Saccharomyces cerevisiae S288C: one gene and its partners. The protein of the gene in region 1 purifies or fractionates together with the protein of each later gene. This does not show direct contact. Each region holds a gene or a part of one and is shown on either strand. Other genes may lie near its edges.

What was found.
Region 2: the proteins of SDA1 (region 1) and ARX1 purify together in Saccharomyces cerevisiae (affinity purification with mass spectrometry; 11 studies listed by BioGRID, with this or other methods). This does not show direct contact.
Region 3: the proteins of SDA1 (region 1) and RSA4 purify together in Saccharomyces cerevisiae (affinity purification with mass spectrometry; 5 studies listed by BioGRID, with this or other methods). This does not show direct contact.
Region 4: the proteins of SDA1 (region 1) and NOP7 purify together in Saccharomyces cerevisiae (affinity purification with mass spectrometry; 11 studies listed by BioGRID, with this or other methods). This does not show direct contact.

Annotation. Positions count from the first base shown.
Region 1 is NC_001139.9:978,303-985,106, forward strand, and holds SDA1 (Sda1p), read right to left. Parts: upstream 3,767-6,804; coding exon 1,463-3,766; downstream 1-1,462. Other genes in the region: LSC2 (succinate--CoA ligase (GDP-forming) subunit beta), read right to left, coding at 1-1,017; transcription factor TFIIIB subunit BRF1, read right to left, coding at 4,180-5,970; CPD1 (2',3'-cyclic-nucleotide 3'-phosphodiesterase), read left to right, coding at 6,664-6,804.
Region 2 is NC_001136.10:655,113-661,054, reverse strand, and holds ARX1 (putative hydrolase), read left to right. Parts: upstream 1-3,587; coding exon 3,588-5,369; downstream 5,370-5,942. Other genes in the region: STE5 (Ste5p), read right to left, coding at 1-2,705; YDR102C (uncharacterized protein), read left to right, coding at 3,075-3,407; TVP15 (Tvp15p), read right to left, coding at 5,611-5,942. UniProt on the Saccharomyces cerevisiae protein: Probable metalloprotease involved in proper assembly of pre-ribosomal particles during the biogenesis of the 60S ribosomal subunit. Accompanies the pre-60S particles to the cytoplasm.
Region 3 is NC_001135.5:239,582-245,237, forward strand, and holds RSA4 (Rsa4p), read right to left. Parts: upstream 2,772-5,656; coding exon 1,224-2,771; downstream 1-1,223. Other genes in the region: peptidylprolyl isomerase family protein CPR4, read left to right, coding at 1-430; mitochondrial 54S ribosomal protein mL49 IMG2, read right to left, coding at 522-962; mitogen-activated protein kinase kinase kinase SSK22, read right to left, coding at 3,007-5,656. UniProt on the Saccharomyces cerevisiae protein: Involved in ribosome biogenesis. Required for processing and efficient intra-nuclear transport of pre-60S ribosomal subunits.
Region 4 is NC_001139.9:691,847-697,734, reverse strand, and holds NOP7 (mRNA-binding ribosome synthesis protein NOP7), read right to left. Parts: upstream 2,319-5,888; coding exon 501-2,318; downstream 1-500. Other genes in the region: SRB5 (Srb5p), read left to right, coding at 1-290; GTF1 (glutamyl-tRNA(Gln) amidotransferase subunit F), read left to right, coding at 2,600-3,151; rhomboid protease PCP1, read right to left, coding at 3,332-4,372; GTPase-activating protein MDR1, read right to left, coding at 4,638-5,888. UniProt on the Saccharomyces cerevisiae protein: Component of the NOP7 complex, which is required for maturation of the 25S and 5.8S ribosomal RNAs and formation of the 60S ribosome.

The DNA of each region.
Region 1 (6,804 bases):
TTTGATGGTCTCAGGGGTGGCACCACCACCACAATCCAAAAAGTTCGCAGGATCGCCTCCATTTAATTTGATGACATCCATAGTAGCCATAGCCAAACCAGCACCATTGACTAAACATCCAATGTTACCCTTCAACTTAACAAAATTCAAATCATACTTCTTTGCCTTAACTTCATCAGGATCTTCTTGTGATAAGTCCCTCCAGGAATATATCTTTTCCTGTCTGAATGATGCGTTATCATCAAACCCAAATTTGGCGTCTGTACACATGATTTTGTGGGTTGGATCATGTTCAATTTCACTCAAAGGGTTAATCTCCACTTGTGTAGCATCCCTTTCCATGAATATTTTATACAAATTGGAAACAGCTTTTGCTGCCTCGTCTTGTGCATCGGGACTGAAACCGAGACTCTTGGCAACATCCTTGGCCATTTGTGGGCTCAATCCCTTTGAAGTTTCAATTGAAAATTTCTTTATAGCATCTGGGGTTCTCTCAGCCACCTCTTCAATATTCATACCACCTTGACTGGACGCAATGATCATCGGTTTCTTGGTTTGTCTGTCCATTAGAATAGATAAATAAGCTTCATGCTTTGTATCTACTCTTTTCACTATATATACAGCAGATACTGGCTTCCCCGCTATTCCCGTCTGTTTAGTAATCAGGTTATGATTGAGCATTTCTTTTGCAACATCCTCTGCCTGCTGAGGACTTTCGATCATGTGAACACCGCTTTTGTAACCGGTGTCGAAGTGACCTTTACCTCTACCTCCGGTCAATGCCTGCGCCTTGATGACCAGTTTGTTAGTGTTTAATTTCTTGGCTGCTTCGAAAGCCTCTTCGGGAGTGAACGCTGGAAATCCTTCTGGAGTACCAATACCGTATTCCCTCAATAACTGAGCTGACCTGTATTCATGAATTGACAAGTGTCTCCTTGCTTGTAAAGCAGCTTGCGCGTTTAGCCTGCTTAATTGCCCACACTTTGAAATTAGGGATAAGGATTTTCTTGAGTACATTTTGTTCAGTTGCAATGCTTCAGTATTTTTTTCGATTGTATTGACTCAATCCTTATTAATCCTAACTACCTAAAAGTCAGTTACAAAAAAACTGGACTATCGCTCTATAGTCACTGTTATTTTTCGAGAGAAAACGTCAAAGTGCTGATAAGGAAAACGTCGATCTTATATAAAACCTCAAAGATGTTGACTACGCGGCAATTGAAAGGCCAACCAACTTTTAGAATACTCACTCCGCCGCTGCGGGGAAAAGCCGAGAATTCCCGATGAACACATAATCGATACCAGTTGGAGCATTTTTCTCTGTACCAAGACATAAAAAGAGTTTTTTTTAGTATCTACCTGGCTTTGGTGTTCCATTCAAGGTAGAGAAGTCCTCATACAGTTGGAGAGATGAATGTATCTGTGTATATGTATGTATATATTAATATGGCTACGATGTCGTCTAATACCCCTTCTTCTTTTGTTTGGTGATGTGTGCACGTAACACTTTTTGCTTGTCTCGTAGTGACATTTTTTGTTTACCTCTAACAGATCTCTTGTGAATAGACATAACAAAGTTCTTCCTTCTTTCTTTTTCTCTGTTGGTAGTAGAACGCATGTTGTCACGCTTACCGCGTCTACTACCAAATTTGTCTCTACCTTCACGACCTTCCAACACCTTTTGTAATCTTTCCTCACGAGACTGTTTGTATTTGATAGGGCCTGTTAGTGTACTTGCATCAACTAACTCTTCACGCTTGTCTTGTTTGTGGATACCCATTATTTTAGCAACGCTTTCCTCATTACGCAATTCTTGTAGTTTAGCGAAATCTGCCGGAGTTAAAATACGTGTAGAAGCAATTTCACGGAAGGCAGCTTCGGGATCTATATCTGCATCTTCTTGCTCATCCTTCACTTCTTTTTCATCGTCATCATCGCTTAGTTCCAAATCGGAATCTGATTCCTTGCCCTTAGCATTGTCTTTTTCATCGTCACTATCTTCCATATCAACGTCATATTCTTTATCACTATCCATGGTGACCCACTCACCGTCGACATCGTCTTCTTCGCTATCGACATCTACTTCCCAGTTGGCATCAGCGTCTTCATTTTCACTCTCTTCACCATGTTCTTTCTTCCATTTGGCTAACAGTTCGATACCAGCAATCCCTTGAACACTGTTGTCGGCACCAAATTGCGGTCTTTTTGAATCTTTACCTCCTTTCTTGGCTTCTTGTACTTCCATGGCGGCATTCTTACCACGATCCTTCTTCTTTAGCATTTCTGGTGCCACGTCTCTATACAACGCTATCAATGACTTGGCAGCCATATTGACACCTTTAGCTTTAGACCCCTTATATTCTACCAGATCCTGTAGTAGAATCTCATCGATAGCCAAAGGTGCACGAGAGCATATTTCTCTAATGGTATTAATGCCTGCAGCAGCGACTTCATTGGCAACACCGTCTGATACAAACTCGTCTGCAATCTTTCTCACCATGACATTTATAACTTCAGGAGGGACAAGATCATGACATGCTTGGGCACATGCGGACATAATTCTTGTAACATCTCTTTGTTTCGGAGTTAAGTACTTTAAAAAAAAAGTATAAATTCCTAAAACAATTAACTTATGGGTACCAATCAACCTTGATAACAGCTGCATCAAAGATATTTTTTGTTCCATGTCAAATTTGTTTTTCGTTTTGCCTGAAAGATGTTCCTTAAACAATTTTTCGGCAAATCCTTGTGGATCTCTCAAAAGGTGGATAGCACTGAAGTTTAAATACCCTTGAGGAGCACCCGGTCCGTTCTTCTTCTTCTTCTTCACAGTTTTTATGGCATTCTCCAGCTTCTTACCACGTCTACCCGTTTTTTTATTGACTTGCATCTTATGCCTTAATGCATCTAAATCAAACCCATCCTCATCCTCGGAATTTTCTTCAAAATTTTCTTCACGTTCTCTGTCAGCATCCAAAAAAAACATCACACCAGACATGACAATCTTAACATCCTGATGTAATGCTGCTTGGGTCATAATTTCTACTGTTCTTGAATCATCCCAAATACCACGTCTCCAAAGTTCTCTGGTTAATTTTGTGGCCCAGATTCCCTGGGAATCTGGTTGATCTAACAAATTAAAGCAAACGGCCTGCGTAGATTTGTTCAATTTTTGATTTTTACCATTAGTATTACAACTTTTTAATAAAGAAATTAAATTTGTATAAATGATTTTCCTCAATTCCTTGGCGTGTGAATTAACGCCGAGTGAATTACCATGGGAAGAGTAAGCAACCAATAAAGGAAATAAGCTTTGAATTAATTCCTCAGCAGTAATGACGTCCTTATTCCTTAACATCGTCAAACAACTTAAGATTTTTTCTTTCAATTCAAATGGCAAGGACTTATGGTGTTCCAGCAAAAGCTGCTTTAATTCAGACGGGAAGTTTGCAGTTTCACGAGGAAAACATGAGCAGACTTGAGATACGAAGCCAACCAATTCAATAAGTTGCGAAGTTGAAGTGCTCATGGTGGTACCGTTAGTACCTGCCATTGTAGAAGATCCATTTCCTACATCGAGCCCATTAGTGGCAGCTGCAGAATCACCTCCAGCAAGCCCATTTAACATAAAAATGTCCCTTAGCGATTCATAATGTGCATATTGTTGAAGAAACTCCTCTTGATAGGACTCTGGGTCACGCTTTACCAAATTCTGTAAAAGAATGATATTTGTTGGGAGCATAGCTGCTCTACTTCTTCTACCCATTGTTGATGCCCTTGATTGGTATATTCAGTGCGTCTTGTGCTTCCTCCTTAACTATTATTACTTATTCAAAAAAGTGACGTTTGATATGTTTTTTTAGTGGTAGAACGTTCTATCTGTTAAGCGTGTTATGGTTATCTGCGATGAGATGAGTTTAAAATTTTCATTTTTTAGCCGATCAAGCAAAAGAAAAGAAAAAAAAAAAAAACTGAAATTTCCACCTTACCCGTTTTTTTAATGGAACAGTGATTGTTACGACATTGAGATTTTAGATTTATATAATCACATACATATTAAATAGTTAATGCACCTTTAATTCTTTTGCACTTCATGTTCTATATATTTTAGCCAAAACCAAATGTATTGCGTCTTTATTTCCGTTCCCTTTTTCCTTCCTAGGGTTGATTACCTAAACGTTACCTAAACAAACCGTCAATGGCGTCGTAATTAATCTTCTTGGAGAAACTTGCCTTCTGCAACATGTTCTTGACACTATCAGCAGTTGTGAAATCACCACTTTCCTCAGCTGCCTTCAATGCAGCGTGTAAACCAGACTTATCTTGTAAGTCTGACATCAATCCGATAGCTGCTGCTGCATCCACAGTTTTTGTAGGTTCGTCACTTCTAGTATTATTCCTACGTCTCGTACGTTTTTTTTTCACTGATGTGTTACCTGTGGCAATATCTGCCTCCTGTTTCAAACGTTTACTCTCTTGTTCAAGTAAGAAATCTGCGTTCAGACCAATCCAAATTCTTTCCTTCAATTTAGAAGCTTCCTCGTTTAATAGGTGCGCGTTTAACTCCTCATCATCAACATCTTCTAAATTATCTGGGTCGTCACTAACTTTCGAAAGGTATGTGTCCGTTGTGGGTAACAAGTGTAAATTGCGAGGACAATATGGGTCTGTTTCTAGAGAGTAACCATCAATGGCATCTTGAAAATGCCCAGATTCGTTCTCTTTCTTTTCTTCTGATGTTTTTGTCTTTACCTTCTTGACTTTTTCCTCAGTCCCTTCCGTCTCTTTGTCTTCCCCTTCAACATGCTCGTTCTGGATAGAAACTTCAGAAAGTTTGCGTTTCCTTGTTTCGTTTTCAGAACCTTCATGGTATATATTTTCACCATCTATACCATTAGTAGCCTTAATCCTCTCCACAACACGGGCCCTTCTTTCTGAAAATTGTTTTAAGTAAAACAGGACTTCCTTGGAAGACAGTTCTTGTTCTCCTAATACTTGCGTCAAAATTGGATTTTTATTCAATGCTTCTTCACTTGTTTGAAACATCTCTTCTTTGTCTAAAGAGTCCTTTATTTTTCTTTCTTTCTTTCTGTTCTTCACAAAGGAGGGAGGCCTAGCCTCACCGTCTTCCACATCATTTTCTCTAAATTTTTGAACTGAAAGTTTAGCAGCCTTTGTATTTTTGAATTCGTTCAACCGTTGCTGTAAAGTTTCCTCGGCGACATGTGAAACTGCGACGATCTCTGTATGAGTTCTTCTCAAATTATTCATCCTGCAAGCTAGTAGAATACATGCGCCGGCAATACCTGCAGGTCTACGTCCTTCAAACATCCAGTCCTTGGACATTCTTTGAGCCAATTTTACGGCATCTTTTACCACTTTGATCTTCTTGTCAGCAAGATCCAATTTTTCGGCAAAATGTTGAATGAATAAGGAAGGATCCGCTAACGGCAATTCTGTGATATGTAATTTCTTTACCATTTTCAAAAATGTGGCTCCTATGGAATACACACTCACCTGTAACCTTGAAGAGAAGTCGATCAGCATATGATGCGTCTTTTCCTTTCTACATGCAACGTAAAGACATGAAGCGATAACATTTTGGGACCTACGACCTTGTACAAAGTTATTAGCCAATGCAAGCTTATACCATTGGAAAGCAGCATCTGTGATATATTCCGGGATATGTAATGCGTAAGAAACGGCGCGTAATTTCCTTCTTGCATTGTTCAATGTGGCTTCTCTAGATTCTAGAGCACTAGAACCACCAAATGCAGCATGACTTTGTCCTGCACCGATAAAAGAACCTTGTACTACAGCAGCACCTGCACTTGTTTCACCGAATGTAACTTCAGAGACGATAGGATTATCTTCTGAGACAACACCACAAGCTTTACAAACTAAATCGTTGTTAGCATTGGAAAGATCTCTCTCAAATTCGGTTCCGTGACAGTTCTTACACACTGGCATTGGTATATGACTATGGACTCTTTTTTATTACCGTTTTTACCATTGGGATTGTTCTTGATGCGATCAAAAATATGATTTTTTTTATCATACCTGATACTTCGCGAAAACCTTAGAATAGCAAATAAGGCCATCGCAACATTAATAGACAAAAATTAGAGTCACTTCACTTCGTTGATTTTTGATAGCGACGGCCGTGACCATTGCAAGATTTCTAATGAGGGGAAGAACAACTTTTCTTGTAGATTACCTCCACTTTAATCGGATGTCTTTTTTTACGTCCAAGAGTATTCAATGTCATCAAGATAGAAGCAAATTTTTCTAACACTAAATGTTATATTGCATCTGTATCAGTATATATGTGTATGTGGGAAGCCATAGTTCACTACTTCACAACTTTAAAAACAATCTATTTTCCTTTGTTCACTAAGTGATTTTGTAGGCGTGATCAAGTGCTTACCGGGGGGTTTTTATTTTTTTTAGGTTAGATCCGATGGAGAAGCGATGCAGGTGAAGTTTAATAAGAACCCAATTCGTAAGCAGGGGCACAAACAATCAAGAAGTTATCAAAGTCACTTTTGAGATACCAAGAATCTAATCAGATTATTTTATCATTTTATTTTACCATCAATTGTAATTATTCTAGTTTGGGAATTCGCGATACTTCAATTTGCTAATATCAGTAACCACAGAAAAATGGCAATAGCATTATGGTATTGTCCACCACAAGGATCAGTTGCTTACGAGACATTACAGATGCTTATATTTTCGTTTCAAACGTTGTTCCCAGATTCACCAGTTTTTGAACCTCATGTGACGGTAACGTCCCATTTGGTG
Region 2 (5,942 bases), on another chromosome or scaffold:
AGACTCGAGAATGAACTGCGTCTGGTTATGCCATCGATTCCTTTATCCATATCACTAAGTAATAATACTGGCATATCATTTTCATTTTCATTTTCATTAGTACCTTCCTCCTCAGAATGAAGTGAAAATCTAATATTAGGAATCAGAGCTGGCTGTACTGAAGAAGCGACAGTTTCTAAGTTTTCTATATTGCTATGTTCACCCTCAGTGAGAAGGTTTCTGTCATTCACCATATTTGCGGTAGCATTTTCATTATCAAATGGAGAATCAATATGAATAGTAGTTGTAGATTCAGCATCCGACAGTGATCCTGAACTATTATCAAGTTCATTATCGGTCGAATCATCATTATCCTCTTCGTCATCGTCATCATGTTCATCAAAACTTAGACCGAAACTGTAGCAAAGAGTTTCTAAAACAAAAGTCCAGGAGCTGGCCTCGACTAGTTCATCAATTTTATCACTGTAGTCAACGTTCAAATAGCCCACCTTAATCTTCAATTCATTGGGCCTTCTTCTTCCAAAACTTGTAAAGCATCTGTAATCTTGAAATAGTATGGATTTTTTTGCTTCCATATTACTATTTGATACAGCAACAATACCCAAATGTTCATGAATATTTTCGGGATATAGAGTATTTTTCAACCAAATAGGTGAAAATTGTGTCGAGGAACTCTTTGATTTGAGATTTGAGATGGAATCTAGTGAATCTATCTTGTGTAATACCGATCCATAGTCCAGAACATAATTATTTCGATCAACGAAACAAAACTGCAAACGCGCAAATTTAATGGTTAAAGCTTTTAGACTGTTATAAACAACAATTAAACTGTCTTCTTCCTTCAATTTCGTAAAATCGATCTGTAAGATTATTGCCAAATTATCAGGTTTTTCTCGTTTAAGGGAAAGAATTGAGCTTATCGTGGTTAGAACAGATTGTATACTGTCGACAGTACTCTGCCTAGAACATTCTCCTGAATTTAAGGTGAATCCCCTCCTTATGATTACAGTATCATTATCGTGCACATTTCCAACTTCAACAACTTTGTTAGGATTGATTAAACCTAGAAAGGTACTCGTCTCGTGCCTACCATTACCAACATCTTTTGAAAAGTTCTTTATAATGGGAAGAATAGGCAGGGTCGAAGTGATATTGTCCTCATTGAATACAAAATCCTGATTCAATATACCTGATATCCATTTCTGTACAGTTGTGCTTTCGTCAGAATTTATATTCTGAACAATGTAAAGATCTGATAAATCGGCGCAATGTTGTTTATTTAAGGTGCATTTGAGTACTGAAGCTTCGAGTGTAGTCATTCTCAAGTTGGCAATAGGTGTAAATACTTCTAAATTCTTTAGTCTAATTTCCAAAACATCAACATCGTTATCCACTTCTGCTATTACAAATGCGTCTTCAAATAAGAAACACCAGCATTGTATATATCTCTGACCATCTTTGGAAATCATCAATTTGTCTACCAACCTTAGTAATCCATAGTCCCCGTCTATTCTCCAATCCTGCAATTCTTCCTGGAAATTGTTCAAAAGAATTTGAATAAAATATGACCTTAACAGCGGCAACGTTGTTTTGGTTTCGTCATCCTTTGCTCTTACCGAATTGGAAACAGCAGAAATAGAATCATTAGCTGACAACGCTACAGAGGTGTCTGCTAAGATAGAGTTTGCTCCGGACGGAATTCTTCTGTGCCCCAGGGGTGAATGTAAAAATGTATAGTTTGATTTTTTTTGTGGAATTTGGTTTCTTTCCTTGGGGGGTGCAGCCAATATGAGATTTGGGTTTAGACTTGGAGCTTGAGAATATATCGTTTGTCTTTCAACAGGTGTATAGGATAACCCAAAAGGAGGCAAGAGTGGTGAATAAGGAGGAAAGCGGGACTGAGGTGTGATTGATAACTCAGAATCAGGAATCTTATGAATCAAAAAATCAGAAATTAGAATATCCTTTAGTTCATCATTTTCTGGAATGCATTGAACGGCTTTGTTAGTATCTTTTTTACATTTGGTACAAAAAGGAAATAGCGCACGAACGTCTGCCTTTGAAGTGGTGCCAAAAGAGATAATAAGACATTCTTGGTGACTTAAGTGGCCACATGCAAGCTCTATAATTTTCTCTCCCTTTCTTCTGTTAGAAATAGGCTCGTCACATAACGTACAAGAAGCATTCAAAAAGGATTTTTTAATAGAGGTTCTTTGTATTGGATAGCCAAATGGAGCGACCTTGGGTGGTATATTATCTGATAAATTTTCGGCCCTTGGGGGCTCATTTGCTCGGGATAGGTTACTATTACTTGCGTGAAAGAGATTGGAATTAGGTCTTGGCAAAGACGATGTTCTGTGAGGGTGTTGTGGCAAATAATCAGTGGAAACCGTAGAAGGTGTATTCATTAGGTTACCGTCTTCATTGCCAGAAGAGTTTGAAGAAGTGACCCTAGATTTGGGTGAGAACGAAAATGTAGAGGAGGAAATAGGAGAAGGTGAGAATCTTTTCTTTTTAGCACTACTTCTTTGGAACCTGGCTAACTTTTCCGTCCATTTTTTTCCTCTTGACAATGGGGATAGAGTACTGGGCTTCTCTAGCTCTATTATTTGGTTGGGAGTTCTCGACAAGGTACCACTATATTGTGTCGAGCTACCAAAATTGTGAAAAGGGGAAACTATATTGTCTGTAGGAGTTTCCATCATTTAAAAGTTGTTTCCGCTGTATCCTGTATCTTCCTTTTTTAGCGCGGATGCTAGATGGGTTAAAACAGTTTTAAAATATTTTCAAATTACTTTTTTATGCCTTTCTTTTGTCGTCAACTTTTCGAGGAAATTCTCGGTATTTTCTTTAGCTACTATCGCCTTTCATATTTTGATGCAGAAAAGTACATGATGTGTAAATTAACAAGCTACATATCGCCGCACCCAAAAAAAAAAAAGAAAAGAAGGGAAATTGTTCAAAATTATGACAGGTTACCTATGGACATGTGTCGTCTAATCACTACCTTTATATTTTTTAATTAATTCATGTGCACAGGCCTGCTTTCTACTATTGAGCAATACGCCTTCTAAATGACTCTCCTACTTCAAAAATGTATCAGAGTAGAACTGCGGAAAGATCCAATATTTAACGCTTCTTCTTCACTCGAAATATTTCTGTCAGTTTTAGAATCTGTTATATATCCCTTTAAAGGAAACTTGATACTTCTAGATTTTCATCTTGTCGATGTTCAAACAACGTGTTATCAGAGAAACAGCTCTATGAGAAATCAGCTGATGTCAGTATTCTGTCAGTCACTTCGTGAATTTACATTGACTGCTCTTTCGTGCAATTCATACTGTATTATTATAGTTGCAACTAGATGGCAAAAAATTGATAATGCCCTAAAAATGACAGGCCGGTAACCCTAAGCTTTTTTTTACCCGGAGAGGGTCATGCCTCTGTGAAGCTTTTTTTGCTTTCTGAAAAAATTTTACCGAAGTAAAGAAAAATTTCAGCAGAAGAGATGAGATGAGCTAAAGCATCGTGTTATTCAAAATACTTTTAAGAAAAAACCCGACCCGACTAATATTGCTAAAACTATCATGGCTCTAGCTATCTCCCACGAGGATACTCAGATTTTGCTAAAGGACAAAAATATTCTACAGGAATCGGTCTTGAACAAATACAGAACTGCTGGACAAATCGCACAAACTGCTTTGAAATATGTTACTTCTTTGATCAATGATTCATATCACTCTAAGACCACACAGCGCCAATTAACCGTGCCAGAGCTATGTTTGCTTACCGATTCTTTTATTTTGACCCGGTTGGAACAATATTATAAAAACAAAGTTAATGAAAGAGGTATTGCCATTCCAACCACTATTGATATCGACCAAATTTCTGGTGGATGGTGCCCCGAAATAGATGATACTCAAAATTTGTTAAACTGGAATAAGGGGAAAGACTCCACTTTTGCATCATCTGTCACTGGGACTTTGAGACCGGGGGATTTAGTCAAGATTACACTAGGTGTTCATATTGATGGTTACACCTCTGAAGTTTCTCATACTATGGTTATTTACCCCGTTGATGAAACCAAACCTATTCTTCAACCCACTGGGCCACTACTAGGTGGTAAAGCGGATGCTGTAGCTGCTGCTCACATTGCTATGGAAACAGTTGTTGCTTTATTAGCCTGTGCTCTGACTCCAGAAAAGCTTCCTGCCTCACTGGGAGGAACTTCAAGTGGTATCACAGGCCAATTGATTAGAACTATAGTGGATACTATTGCCAGATCTTATAACTGTGGCGTTGTTCCTGGTTCTCGTGTAAGAAGGATTAGAAGATTCCTGGCAGGCCAAAACGAAGGTATTGTTGCCGAAAGGGAATATAAGGGTGTTGTTTGGACAGAGTCCCATCAAGAAGCAGATTTGCTATCTAATACTGATGCCAAGGATTTAACAGTGGTAGATCGTGGACAATCGACTCCATTCACTAATGTTTCTGCTATTCCAAGTGATGATTTCGTTGTTCAATCAGGTGAAGTGTATTTAATTGATTTGAAAATGGCATCTTTGGAGCATTGTACCAAAAAGGGTTTAGTAACTTTAGAAACCGTTGACTCTTACACAGGTAAATCTCATAAGGCTGGAGAATTGATTGCAAGACCCGGTGCATATGTTAGAGATTTTGCTCAAACCCATATTCTTAAATTAAAAACTTCTAGACAATTATTAACTAAAATCGATAAACAAGGCGTTTATCCATTCAAGTTATCTCATTTATCTTCTAACTTTCCTTTCGTTCACGAAAATGAAGAAGAACTCCAAAGCTTAAAGAAAGATTTGAAATCATTTAGACTTGGGATGAGTGAGATTTCCAACAACTACTTATGTGTGGAAAGTCCAATACAAATTGCTAGATGGGTTCCATGGGACCATATTTTAAAGGCTACCAATCCAAACGGTAATTTAAGTTATGATGCAACCTCTACATTAACATTACCTGGGCATGAGTTACCTTTACCAAAATTGGGTGTTTCAGCCATCAAGCTTAAATCCTTAATGAATTCAACCAAGGAATCGATTTCTTTACCAGTTGCTCGTGAATGTAATACCATCGTATTATGTGACTCTAGTGTAAGTACAACGGACAGACCCGAATTATTGAGATTAACTGGTGGTTCTAAGACCTGTCAACCGAGCTGGATTCACTCTCAGCACGAATTAAATCCACAAGATTCAATTGTTCAAGGGATCTTTCAATTAGCTACTTTGGCCAAGGATAAGAGGTTCGGTCTATTATTAAAGGAAACGCAGCCAATGAAGCAGAAGAGTGTTGAGACATCAAATGGCGGAGTTGAAGAAACCATGAAAATGTAGGAAACTTCATCATTTCTAAAGCTAGTATATAAATAATATAAGTATATCATAAAATGTAAAATAGAATATTATAAAAAAAGTCAACCTAGCTGTACTAAAACCGCTTGGTTCATTTGCTCAGAATCTTGCATTATAATTACATTTTATTTGCTATACAGATGAGATGGAAGATTAAATATCTCACGCCTGTTTCGCCATGCTTTTGTAACACCGGCGGATTGAGAGACATGGGCTTCTAATATTAAATCATGTCATCGTCATCGTCGATGTCATCATCACCAATTGACAAAGATGAGCCGGGTGCTCTGAAGTTAGCAGGTTCTTCCACAAACTGGGAAAAATGAAAAACAATAAAGGCAACCCCTAAAATAAAAGTAAACATTCCCGCCAATATGTTGTAGATACCGCCGAAGCTGATTATCAGACTTAGTAAAATATAAGATAAACCCCTTCCAAGAAAACTAAAGTAAAAGGAAGCATACCTGTAAAGATTTGACGGAACCTTGAACTCCAGATAGACGATAGGTACGGAGAGTGCCAGTCCGTAAACTGCCAAGAGGAAGACGTTTAAAT
Region 3 (5,656 bases), on another chromosome or scaffold:
CGATGGAAATGAGGAATTGGATGGCAAAAGTGTCGTGTTTGGTCAAATAACTTCTGGTCTAGATCAACTAATGGATGCTATTCAATACACAGAAACAGACGAATATGGAAAGCCTCAGCATGAATTACGGTTCCTGTATTTCGTTCTAGAAATCTTAAAAATTAGTAACATCTTAGATTTGCACGCTGCGTACACAGAAAAAGTCGAGAAGTTTAGAAATGGCGATGTGTCTGTTGGCTCCACTTTGGAAAACATCTTCCGTAACGATAAAGCCTACACACCTTTAACCACCTCCACTGGAACCACCGCCTATGATTTAAACCACCCAATTTCCAGAGCCTTGATGTGTTTAACTGTTCTTGGCCTTTGTTTCATTGCCTACAAGGGCATGCACGAAAAGCCTCATACGGTTTCATTAAGACACAAGTAAGCAACTTCTTTTCGATGGCTTGATGACCACATGGCTATGATTTTAATTAATATATATACATGACAATTATTTTTTTATACATTAGCGATACCTAAAATTTCTTGGTTAATACCCTTTTGACAGCCTCTACTGCATTGCCCTTGATAATAATTTTTTTCGATTGCATCACCACAGACCATGATTTTTTGGGTATGAAAGGCAGTTGCTCCTGCAAGTCATTTCTTAGTTGAATTACATCTCCTTCAATCTTTCTGATCTCCGTGATAATCTTGTTACCTCCATTTTTATAAGCGGAATACACCGGTAGATTTCCGGTCCTGCTTCTCTCCACGTAGTAGGTCTTTTTACCAAAATTGTTGTTTCCTATGAGCTCATGCATCTTCACGTCTTCCAGCTTTGGAAATATTGGCGCCTCAGCAGCTTTATTTGAATTAGTGGATATACATCTTATCGTTTGGTATATCGAGGCAGTGGCAGGCCCTGGAAGGCATTTACCCCTACCAAAACATCTAGTAACACACGAACTGATCATAGTTTTGCTCACACGCTACCTTGGAGTAAGTTGCTTTAGGTAAACGGGCACTTCTTTCAAAAGGTTTTCCTTCTTGCTGGAGCTATACTGCTTATAGTACCATATTTTAAATTCATACCAAGCCATTCGTACGCGATGACCATTATAGATCGACCTTGCGACACCATCATATTTAATATTCAAAAAGAAAAAAATGCAGTTCTATATCACAGTTATATAATATTTATATGTGCATGTATGTTACTTGTCTTTGCACATAACTCAATGCGTCCACAATCTTACCATCTTGTCTTTCCCACCACTACACACTCTTTTACCGTCGACACTCCAGTCGACGGTATAAACTTCGTCTTTATGACCAGGGAGGTCAACAGAAAGTTTTCTAGTTCTTACATCCCACACTTTCAACGTGGTATCTTTGGAACATGACACCAGTAGTCGGCAGTCCGATGACCACGCAACCTGGTATACGCTGGCTACATGCCCTCTAAATGTGGAGATAAACTTACCATCTCTACCGTCCCAAAGTTTGATAGAGTTATCAAAAGACGCTGAGACAATATACCTACCATCAGGGCTGAACGCCACATGATTGACTAATTTTTGGTGACCGGTCATTCTTGCTATAGGCTTGGTAGATTTTAGTGGGTTCCATAAAAACATGGTATAATCATCGCTTGCAGTAACCATCATTTCTTCTGAATTTCCATTCTTTTTACAGATTTTTTCATAATTTTCCAATGCCTTTTTCTGGGCTTCTTCTGGTGTAGAAGGCTTCTTACCTGTATGATCGAATGCACCAATGCGCAATGCGTAATCTGTAGATAAAGATAAGTGATTAACCCAGTGCGCATGCGACTTCAAAATGTTGATACATCTGCCCTGCGAATTGATGTCCCATACACGTACGGTTCTATCGTGAGAGCCACTATACAATAGACCTTGGCCGCCCCATTTGACACAAGACACTGAATTTGTGTGACCACTCATCGTATACTGGCAAACTCTGCTCACAGTGTCCCAAATCTTAATAGTACCATCCTTAGAAGATGAAGCTAATCTTGGTTTGGAGCCCGGCTTCACAAGATGTATAGGTTCCCAACTTAAAGAAGTGATCCACTTGGAATGACCTCTGAGAGCATCACCTAGACACTGACCGCTTTTTGGGTCCCATAATCTTATGGTATTGTCCATGGATCCCGTAGCAATTACTTCTCCATCGGGGGACCAGGAAACGCAGAGAACCCAATTGTAGTGACCCTTTAGAGTATGCATTGGCGTTTGGGTGTCACAGTCCCAAATCCTTGCAGTATTATCACCTGCACCGGTTACCATCCTAGAACTCGTATGTGGTGCGAAGGCAGAACACAAAATTGTGGAACCGTGACCTGCAATGGCTGATGAACTTCTAGTTACCGGCTTGACTTTGAAAACTGCTCTTGGCGTATACAGTAGCGTGATCTGATCTTCTGTACTGTTATAGCCTGGTTTTATTAATGAAGAATATAGGTTATCTGTTATATCAATCGTCTTCACAGGGTCACTGGCCTTCTTACCTTGAATTGTACAGCTGAAGGTATATGGCACTGGATCGTCTGAAGTACCGTTCAATTGATTTAAAAGTTCTTCTAACTGTTTCTCGGAGATAGCACCGGGAACTCTCAGGGCGCCACCTACATTGTCACCAGTATCTAAAGCTTGGAACTTGATTGAAACATTGGGTAAATCTTTCGGAATAATAGCTACTTCTCTGGGAAGTTGAGCCTCTTTCTTTTGTTTCTTAGAAGGTGGAGGAATCAGGGTGGACATCTGTATATTGTGTTAGTGTGTGTTTATCGAGGTTACAAATATAAAAATCTTGTGATATATGTCTTTTAAAGATACTCTTTTTGAAGCTCATCGCATTTTTTTTTTTTTTTTCATTTTAAAATTTTTCACCGGTTTCTCGGGTAACAGCTCTAAATGAAATCTTGCCTTCATCACCATTATTGAATTACATTACATTATATATCGTAGTATATCATATTTTTAGACGTTGACCACTCTATGAGCTTAGGATAGGTACTTGATCTTTCTCTGAGTTGCCAAATGCTATTTCACGGATTTGTATCATCCAAGGGTCTATCAGTAGTTCCACAGCAGTAGCCCTCATAGTGGGGTCTTGAACCAAACACCTTTCCAAGAAGGCTCTTCCCGCTGCAGTCATTTCGTCTCTATTGGGTAGTTGCGGTATTCGACCTGCAGCAACGTGGTACATGATGGCCCATTCATTATCCAAGTTAGACCAAGGTCGTCTACCTGTGGCCATTTCTAGCACAACACATCCTAATGCCCATACATCGTCCGCTCCAAGTTTTCCCTTAACTGCCGAGCCTGAAATAGTCTCTGGAGCCATATACATCGGTGTCCCCATCATTTCATTGAGGGACTTTGTTTCTACTCCAAAATCTTGAACGGCTGCGTTCCGCACAGTTCTAGTCCTAGATCCTACAACGGTACGTGCCGTACCAAAATCCACATATTTTATGATTCCATTGAAATCCAGCAAGATATTCTCCGGTTTAATGTCGCGATGCACCACGCCAGATTGGTGCAAATATGCCAAACCTTCTAATAGTTCGAATGTGTACACTTGTGTTACCATTTCATCTTCAATTCTTCCATGATCCAATAACGAGGCTAAAGAACCACCCTCACAGTATTCCATGAAGATGTTAACTTTATCGCGATGTACTTCGACACCATAGTACTGGACAATATTAGGATGGTTTAACATTTCCAATACGGTCATCTCTTCTTTAATCAGGGGAAAAATCTTCTTCATTGTTGTGGTATCGTGTATCTTTATTTCCTTAACAGCTAAGATTTCACCGTTTTCCAGATTAATTGCAGAGTATACCTGTCCAAATGTTCCACCGCCAATGAAGCTTCTTTTTTGCCACCTCATTGATACATTCGATAATGAGGATGCTAGCGATAGTAGGTATTTGTTTCCCTGATCTGTAGCATCCAATACCTTACCCATTTGCCTGGGATTCCTCTTCATAGTCTTTTCCAACGTCTTTATAGCTTCCAGTCTCAACCTGCTGTTTATTTCTAGGGTGGCCTCTTCATCAATATTCTCTTCAGTATCAATATTCAATCTTGCCTGTTGCATGCCATTTTCAGCTTCAGTGGCTCGTGCACCCATAACGTCGAAATGTGAAATTAATAATGACATACATACTGATACCCTCTCCTTCAGTTCTTGAAATTGCTTTACATTCAGCGCCAGGATATTATAACCACTAGTCATCTGCATCGCAAAATCCATTGCAAGAACGCACCATCGGAAAGTTCGCTGATCGGTAGGATCACACTCTTCAACAAGGAATTTCAACCAGTTCATTCCTAATTTAACCATCAGAAAGATGATAACGTACTTCCTCTTTGAGCTAAAGGCGTTATATTTAAGGAAACTTCTTCCAAAATCCCTTCCAAACATGAATATCGAATTTAACAACTCATTTCCCGGACATTGCTTCATAAAGCTACCTAGAATTCCTTTGTAGTTGTTCAATACTGTATAAGTAAGTTTGTAATATGCCTTATTGATTTTTTGTAGGGAGGATTCAATTGAATTGAGTGAACAACGTTTCTCTATGAATGAAACAGAATCACCTACCGTTTGATTAAACTTGTCGATTTGATAAGTCAGTGCATAATTAGAACCTTGATTGAGTAAAATCAACGTATTTGGGTTACCAATTTTCCCTAAATCCATTTCGTTGGATGCAAAAAGGTTGTTACCTGGAAGCTTATATACTGGTCCATCCCAAACTACTGGCTCTCCAGGATATAGTACAACTAGTGCACCCAATGAGCTCAAAGCAACTTCCAATTCAAAAACTTCATTGTTCTTTTCATCAAGGTGCTGATCAAAAGGGTCTGTTGAAAAATTCTTCTTTTTGGACTGATGAGCATGCCTGTCCAAATCACTTGACGAATTTGCTACTACTCGGTAGTAAGGAATTCCTTTGGAATCCTCCCCTTTCGATACTAGAATGTTCAAATCTGTTTCTTTTGTTGTTATATCATACACATTCAAATTATTTCCAATGTCAAGCTTTGGGACCAAATCACAGCCAATGGATTTATTTCGCAAAATTCTTAAGATGGTATCATTGTCACAACCTAATAATTCAGGAGCAGCAAACATATATACACCACTAGACTCAAAAGTGTTACCGGAGTATACCAAAAAATAGTGAGCATCTTTTAACTTTTTAACAAGTTGTGCATTATGATTAATCTGATAAACAGCAGAATTTTGGAACGCCTTGACTAGAATATTGCTGAACCTGTTCAGCTTTCTTTTCATGGCACCCAAATTTTCGAAAATGGAACTTAGCCATTTTTCTGCTTCTGAAGCGTTAGCAAATGTTGGTGGGAAGTTTTGTTGTTTCAAAAGATAGAATTGCAATTTATGTACGAGTCTCAAAGTTAACTTGAGAAATTCATTTGGAATCACGGTTTCTGCACCGTTAATATAGTGACCGGTGTTTTTTAGGTGATCCCAGTATTTCAAGAGTAGATCGGGTGCTTTGAAATTTTGTTTACTGGAATCAATCAACTTTAAATTCAACAGAAAAAATAAATAACGAATGGCTTCTATTACAGTATTTTCGAACGTCGGGTCAAAATCCACATCGAAC
Region 4 (5,888 bases), 290 kb from region 1:
AATTTCAGTATCTTACAATTGGTGTGAAATTTTTTATGAAGCATGGTTTAATACTTGAGTTACAAAAAATTTGGCAAATAGAAGAAGCAGGCAATTCACAAATAACAAGCGGAGGGTTCCTTTTAAAAGCATACATCAATGTTAGTAGGGGGACCGATATCGATCGTATAAACTATACAGAGACTGCCTTGATGAACTTAAAAAAGGAACTACAAGGCTATATAGAGTTAAGTGTACCCGATAGACAGTCAATGGACTCGAGGGTAGCACATGGAAATATTCTAATATAATCATTGGCACCTGGGCATATTTTTACAAAATTCACTCATATAGTTATACAGAACAACAGTAACCACTTTTAATGTACAGGTATTTCTATATCTACAAACAAAAATGTGTAGTTATATATCTAATGTTGCTATACCGAGGAATTATAAAGTAATAAAGATGTTAAATTAAAAGACAAAATTTTTGAGAGGCTATTGGAAAAGAAGAGAAAACTATTTCTTGGAATCTAGTTTATTCAGTTTAGCTTTTTGTTTGGCAATTTGCTTCTTTTTCTTTTTTAAGTTCTCAGCTTGTTCCTCCTTTTTAGCATTAGAATACTTCATTTTTTTGTAAAGTTTCTTTTGTTTGTTACTCATCATTATCATTTTCAATTTCTTTTCTTCTTCTTCTTCATCCACCTTTCTCTTTTTGTTCTTTGACTTATTGACATCCTTATCAGCTTCTGAAGTTTCAGAATATTTGATACCTTGTGCTTCCAATTCAAGCTCTTTTTGAGCTTGTAGCTCTTCGTCATCGTCATCATCTTCTTCTCCAGCAACAACTTCTTGATCTTCCTCCTCAACTTGATCTTCACTTTCACTTTCACTTTCACTTTCTTCTTCTTCGCCTTCTTCGACAGGAGCAGTTGGATCGTAACCAATAGCATCACCCCATGGGCTTAAGTGAGGTGGAAGAGCCTCCCCTGGAAGATATTTGTTGGCAGGTACCAATTCGCCTTTATTGATACAATCAAATATCCACTGTGGCTGAATATACGTTCTGCCAGCTACCTTGTTTTTCAAAACTGGCCTGTCAACAATTTGATGAGTGACCTTGGACATGTCAATATCCTTCTTATTTTCAATTTGGTCCATAGCAGCTTCACTGATGACATTACCACCACAAGATAAGATCAAGAACTCAAGAATATCGATCGGAACTTCTCTGCTAACGTAAAAAACAAATGCAGAAAACAAAGAAGCAACAGGAGAATCGTACTTACTTGGCTGTATTAAGATGTCACCCTTGTTCTTATTGTTATCCTCGAAAGTATCTAGTTCCGTTTCCTCATTTTGTTCCTTTTCTTGTTCCTTTTCTTGTTTCTTTTCTTGTTCTTCCTCCTTTTCTGTTTCATCAGTATTTGCCTCATCGGCATTCAAGGCAGACTTTAATGTCGATGCGTCCAAACTTTCAACTTTTACGTCTTCCTCAATCTCAGTTGGGTCAAGTTTTAGTAGGCTGTCTTCTTGTCTGGATTCTAGAATATATGATGACAAACCACTTATGATTTTATCCTTTTTAAGATCCAATTTTGGCGGATAAATCAACCCACTATCGGTGTATAACTTATATAGGACGAAATGCAATAGAGTCGAGTAGAATTCTAAGAAGGTCAACATAATTCTGAAATCAACGTCACTGGGGATGTTTTCTGGAAACTTGAATGGAACTAACCATCTAACTTCTTCACCCTTAATATTGGCTTGATAATAAACACCTTTAATGGATACAAACACTTTACGAACCAAGCGTTCCTTGGCAACATAGGCTAACCATTGATTACAGATTTTCTGAGCATCATTGATAATTTTCGAGGAAACCTGGTTGGTAGAGGGCAAATTAGAGAAAAGAAATAACATATTCAAAGCATCATCAATATCCCTTATAGCATCTGGGAAACTTGGATAACGCTCCTTGATAATATGGTCTAAAGTATAACTATCTCTGTTTTCCTCTAACCTTTTAGCAGAAGAGACTTCTCCCCTACCCAAAGCCCTTGTTAGTTTCCTAGCAAAAGTCTTGTGTTCTCTAAATTTAGCCAAAACGGGCTCATGCATTAGATATTGAATATCCTTAGCATAGTAAAAAGTAGTTGGTGCAGTAGAGCCCTTGTTTGCCTTCTTTTTATTTCTTGGCTCTCTAGGATAGATACCTTTGAATATACATAATCTTCTGAAATCAGCAAGAGAAACCTGTAATTTTCTCACAGCTTGAGATCTGGTAATAAAGTTTCTTGCGTTACCTCTGGTGTTTTTCTTCTTGATTCTCATTGTATAAGTAGGATACCGCTGTTACTATACTATTTTCTACAGGAATAAAATGTATTCCACCAGCAGGATTTACTACACATCTCTAATTAACCTTCCAAAATTTTTCATTTTTTCTCATCTCATCTCATCGCAAAAAATTTTCTTTAATTTTTTCAGGCAATAATAATAGTCACCACAGACGACATGACATTATTCTGTAAATATAACATCAAGGAGGTAATAGTGACTAGCATTTAGGCTTTTAGATCGAACTATTTGCACTTACCCATAGTGCTAGAACGATGTACAAAACATGGCGTCTATGCAGAACACATACAGTGGGTGGGTTATGCCATGATGGAAGTCATCGGTTCGTATCTACGGGAGGGGCAAAGATTGGTAAAAAATTTGAAAATATGAATCAAATAAGGGATTATTTATCAAGACCTGTATGGTCCGTCCACGAATATTTAGGCATAAACACTAAAGAGGAAAAACTAGAGCCACCGTCTGCTGAAGCTGTAAAAAAATTGTTGCGGTTATCAGGTCTTCCCTTGGAAGGAGCAGATATTAAAGAAATTCAAATGCGACTTGCCAAGCAATTATCATTCATCAACAAACTCCATAACATACCTGTCGAAGGTGAAAAGCACACCAAGGAATATGATGCTCGGTTGGTGCAAAGAAATACGAAACAGCTGAACTACACAAAGCTACTTGAAGGCATCAGCCACCAAAAGCAGGATGCTGAGCTAGGAGAAGTTAGCGGATCTTGGAAAGCAACTGGACTTGCCGCGGAATCCAAAAATGCATATTTTGTTGTCAAAGAGGGACTACTCAAAAACAGGAAGTAAGACTTAGAAAAGTAACACATACGCTCTATTCTATATATTCTTTTGCCTATGAATTTTCTTGTACATGTACCACCACGATAAGGCTGAAATATTTTTCAAATGCATAAATAAGATTAAGTACATAGAAGACATAGCAGTATTTACAATATTTCGAATGAGAATGTGTCTTTTTTTAAGTGATTAAAACCACCTACCAGCAGCCTGAAGGCGACGCTGCCTTTGTTTCTCTACAGCTTTACTTATATACCATCCGTACAAGACCCCCATCATAGAGCCACCTAAATGCGCAGCGTAATCAAATGACCCCCATCTTAAAGCACAACCAGCTGCATTCCATGCCACTGAAGCCAAGAATGCTACCCAAGCCCCACCTGGGACTGGGAAAACAAACAGCAAAATTTTAGCGTGTGGGAATAGATATGAAAAACATCCTAAAACCCCAAATAGCGCTCCACTGGCACCCAAGCTAGGTCCGACAATGGCTAGGCGTGCCAGTTTTGGATACCATAACGAAAACAAAGAACCTGCAATGGCACTATTCATATATAAGGAGAAAAAATTGGATGCTCCCAACATTGTTGCGAGTGAAGTACCAAAGGACCACAACGCTAGCATGTTCATACCTAAGTGCCAGAATTCTTGATGTGAAAACGCACTTCCGATTATCGAAATTTTGCTAGTTACGTAATCCTTTTGCAGCAACATGTACTTCTGTAGAAACCTCCAGCATTTGGGTAGCTGCCATAGTCCAAATACGGCAACATTGATGCCTAATAACGCGTATACCAGATTCTTTGGATGCGTCTTAAAATACGTAAAGGGTGGAACGTGCTCGAACAAATAAGGGGAGCCAAAATATATTCCTGCCATTAAAGAGAGCCCCAAAATAGTCATAGAGCCCAGAGGATTGCCGCCGCTTCTCTGCTGCTGGTACTGCTGAAACCTGTTCAAACGTACGTATCGATTAGTAGTTTCTTCATTGAATATAGGCTTCCACCTTGATTTCAAAATTGATGTTTGAGAAAAGAACCGTTTCGGTATAATTTTCTGAAGATTTGTGACATTGTCCTCTAAGTTGGGAGCATTTTTGAGTATCGACGTGCTCTGGGATCTTCCAATATATGATACAAAAGTCCTCGAAGGTGAAACCGAAATATTACTGCGGAAAAAAATTCTTGTAGCAGGTCGAAGACCGAGCATAACAGAGCTTACACCTGACATGTTCACACTTGGGCAATTTATTACTTTTCACTGTCTGTATATGTCAGTTGCGAAAGCTGTACCCTTTTCAGTCGTGATTGCCACCTTTTCTATTTCACCGCCAATTATACTTCCAGACAAGAATTTAGGCTTTTTTCGCTCCGAAAATCCGCATTTATGAGAGTTATATGAGGGATCTTCACCAAATCCTGGCAAATATTGCTTTAAATATCTATATAAACACGTACAGATGTTTTAGGGTGACATAAAATTGATAAGCACGATTTCATGCTTCAAATTCAATAAGGTTGGACTTCTCTTCCGAGGAATTTGCCGACAAAGGCTCAAAAGACCTTTCTTGTATGGCTTTAGTGCTAGTTTCATTGGCATCGTCGATCTCAAACCAGGAACTTTGTAATAACTCTTCATTCTCGGGTTGATGCTCTGACGTGAAATCATCTAGATCATCGTACTTTTCTTCTTTGGTAGTTATTGAACTTGCAGCGGCTGTTGGCGTACTCTCTACAGAAGCAATGCTGCTCCTAGTTGCCACCGAATCGACACGACGACGAACTTGCTCAGCAACTCTTTTGCCGTCTGCCAATATACCGTCAAACATACTTCTGAGGACTTTATTTTTGTTATCAATGTTGACATGTTCGTCGACGTGAACAGATGATCGTAAAGTATTAGAAAAGAAAAGCTCGTAAGTTTCATCTGCGAGGATGATCATTCTAAATGTTGGCAAATCTATTACTTTTGGATGGGTGGGATCTAGGGCTGCATTTGCCTTTATGCTTTCCAGTTGTTTTTGTTTTACCGTTCGCTTTTCTTCGCCTTCATCATCAGACAAGTCAATCAAGTTTACCTCCTCCGCGAGATCAACTGCTTTAGCATATTCAAAAGATCTTTGTAGGAAATTGCTTGCAGCTTTTAGGTATCTTTCTGCTTGTTCAACTTTATATTTTTCCTCATCAATAGTAACCCCAGTTGGTAACTCGATTTGGTTCATAGTGGCTATCTCTCCACCGCTTTCCTTGATGATGTTTTCAGCAATATCATCTTCAATGCGCTTTTTAGTTAACAGATCTACATATCTACCGCTCTTCCAAGGTTCCGTTAGCAGTAGCAGCCCTTCCGACAACTGTAGCACTTCTTCTCTATGCAATTCACCATCGCCATCTGTATCATATAAAGAGAAAAAATAGTTTATAGCTTGTAAAAGATCAACAGTTACCAGTTTATCCAAGCCTGTTACCACATCGTTCAATGTCAACTCGCCGATATGAGCAGAATCCCAGTTATCAAATAACCTTTGCAGAAAATTCCTTTTTTGTTTCCGGAAAGCTGGATCTTTGTCCTTTTCACACGGTCTACAGGAGTCACAGAATTTACTCAAGAACTGAATGAATACTTCGAAACCCATATTAGATGATCCCGTTCCCATACTAATTTTGTAGGTTTCTATACTTTGGTAAAACATGTCATAGATATTGGACAAGTCATCACTGGACAGGTTGAAAGTTTTTGGCATATG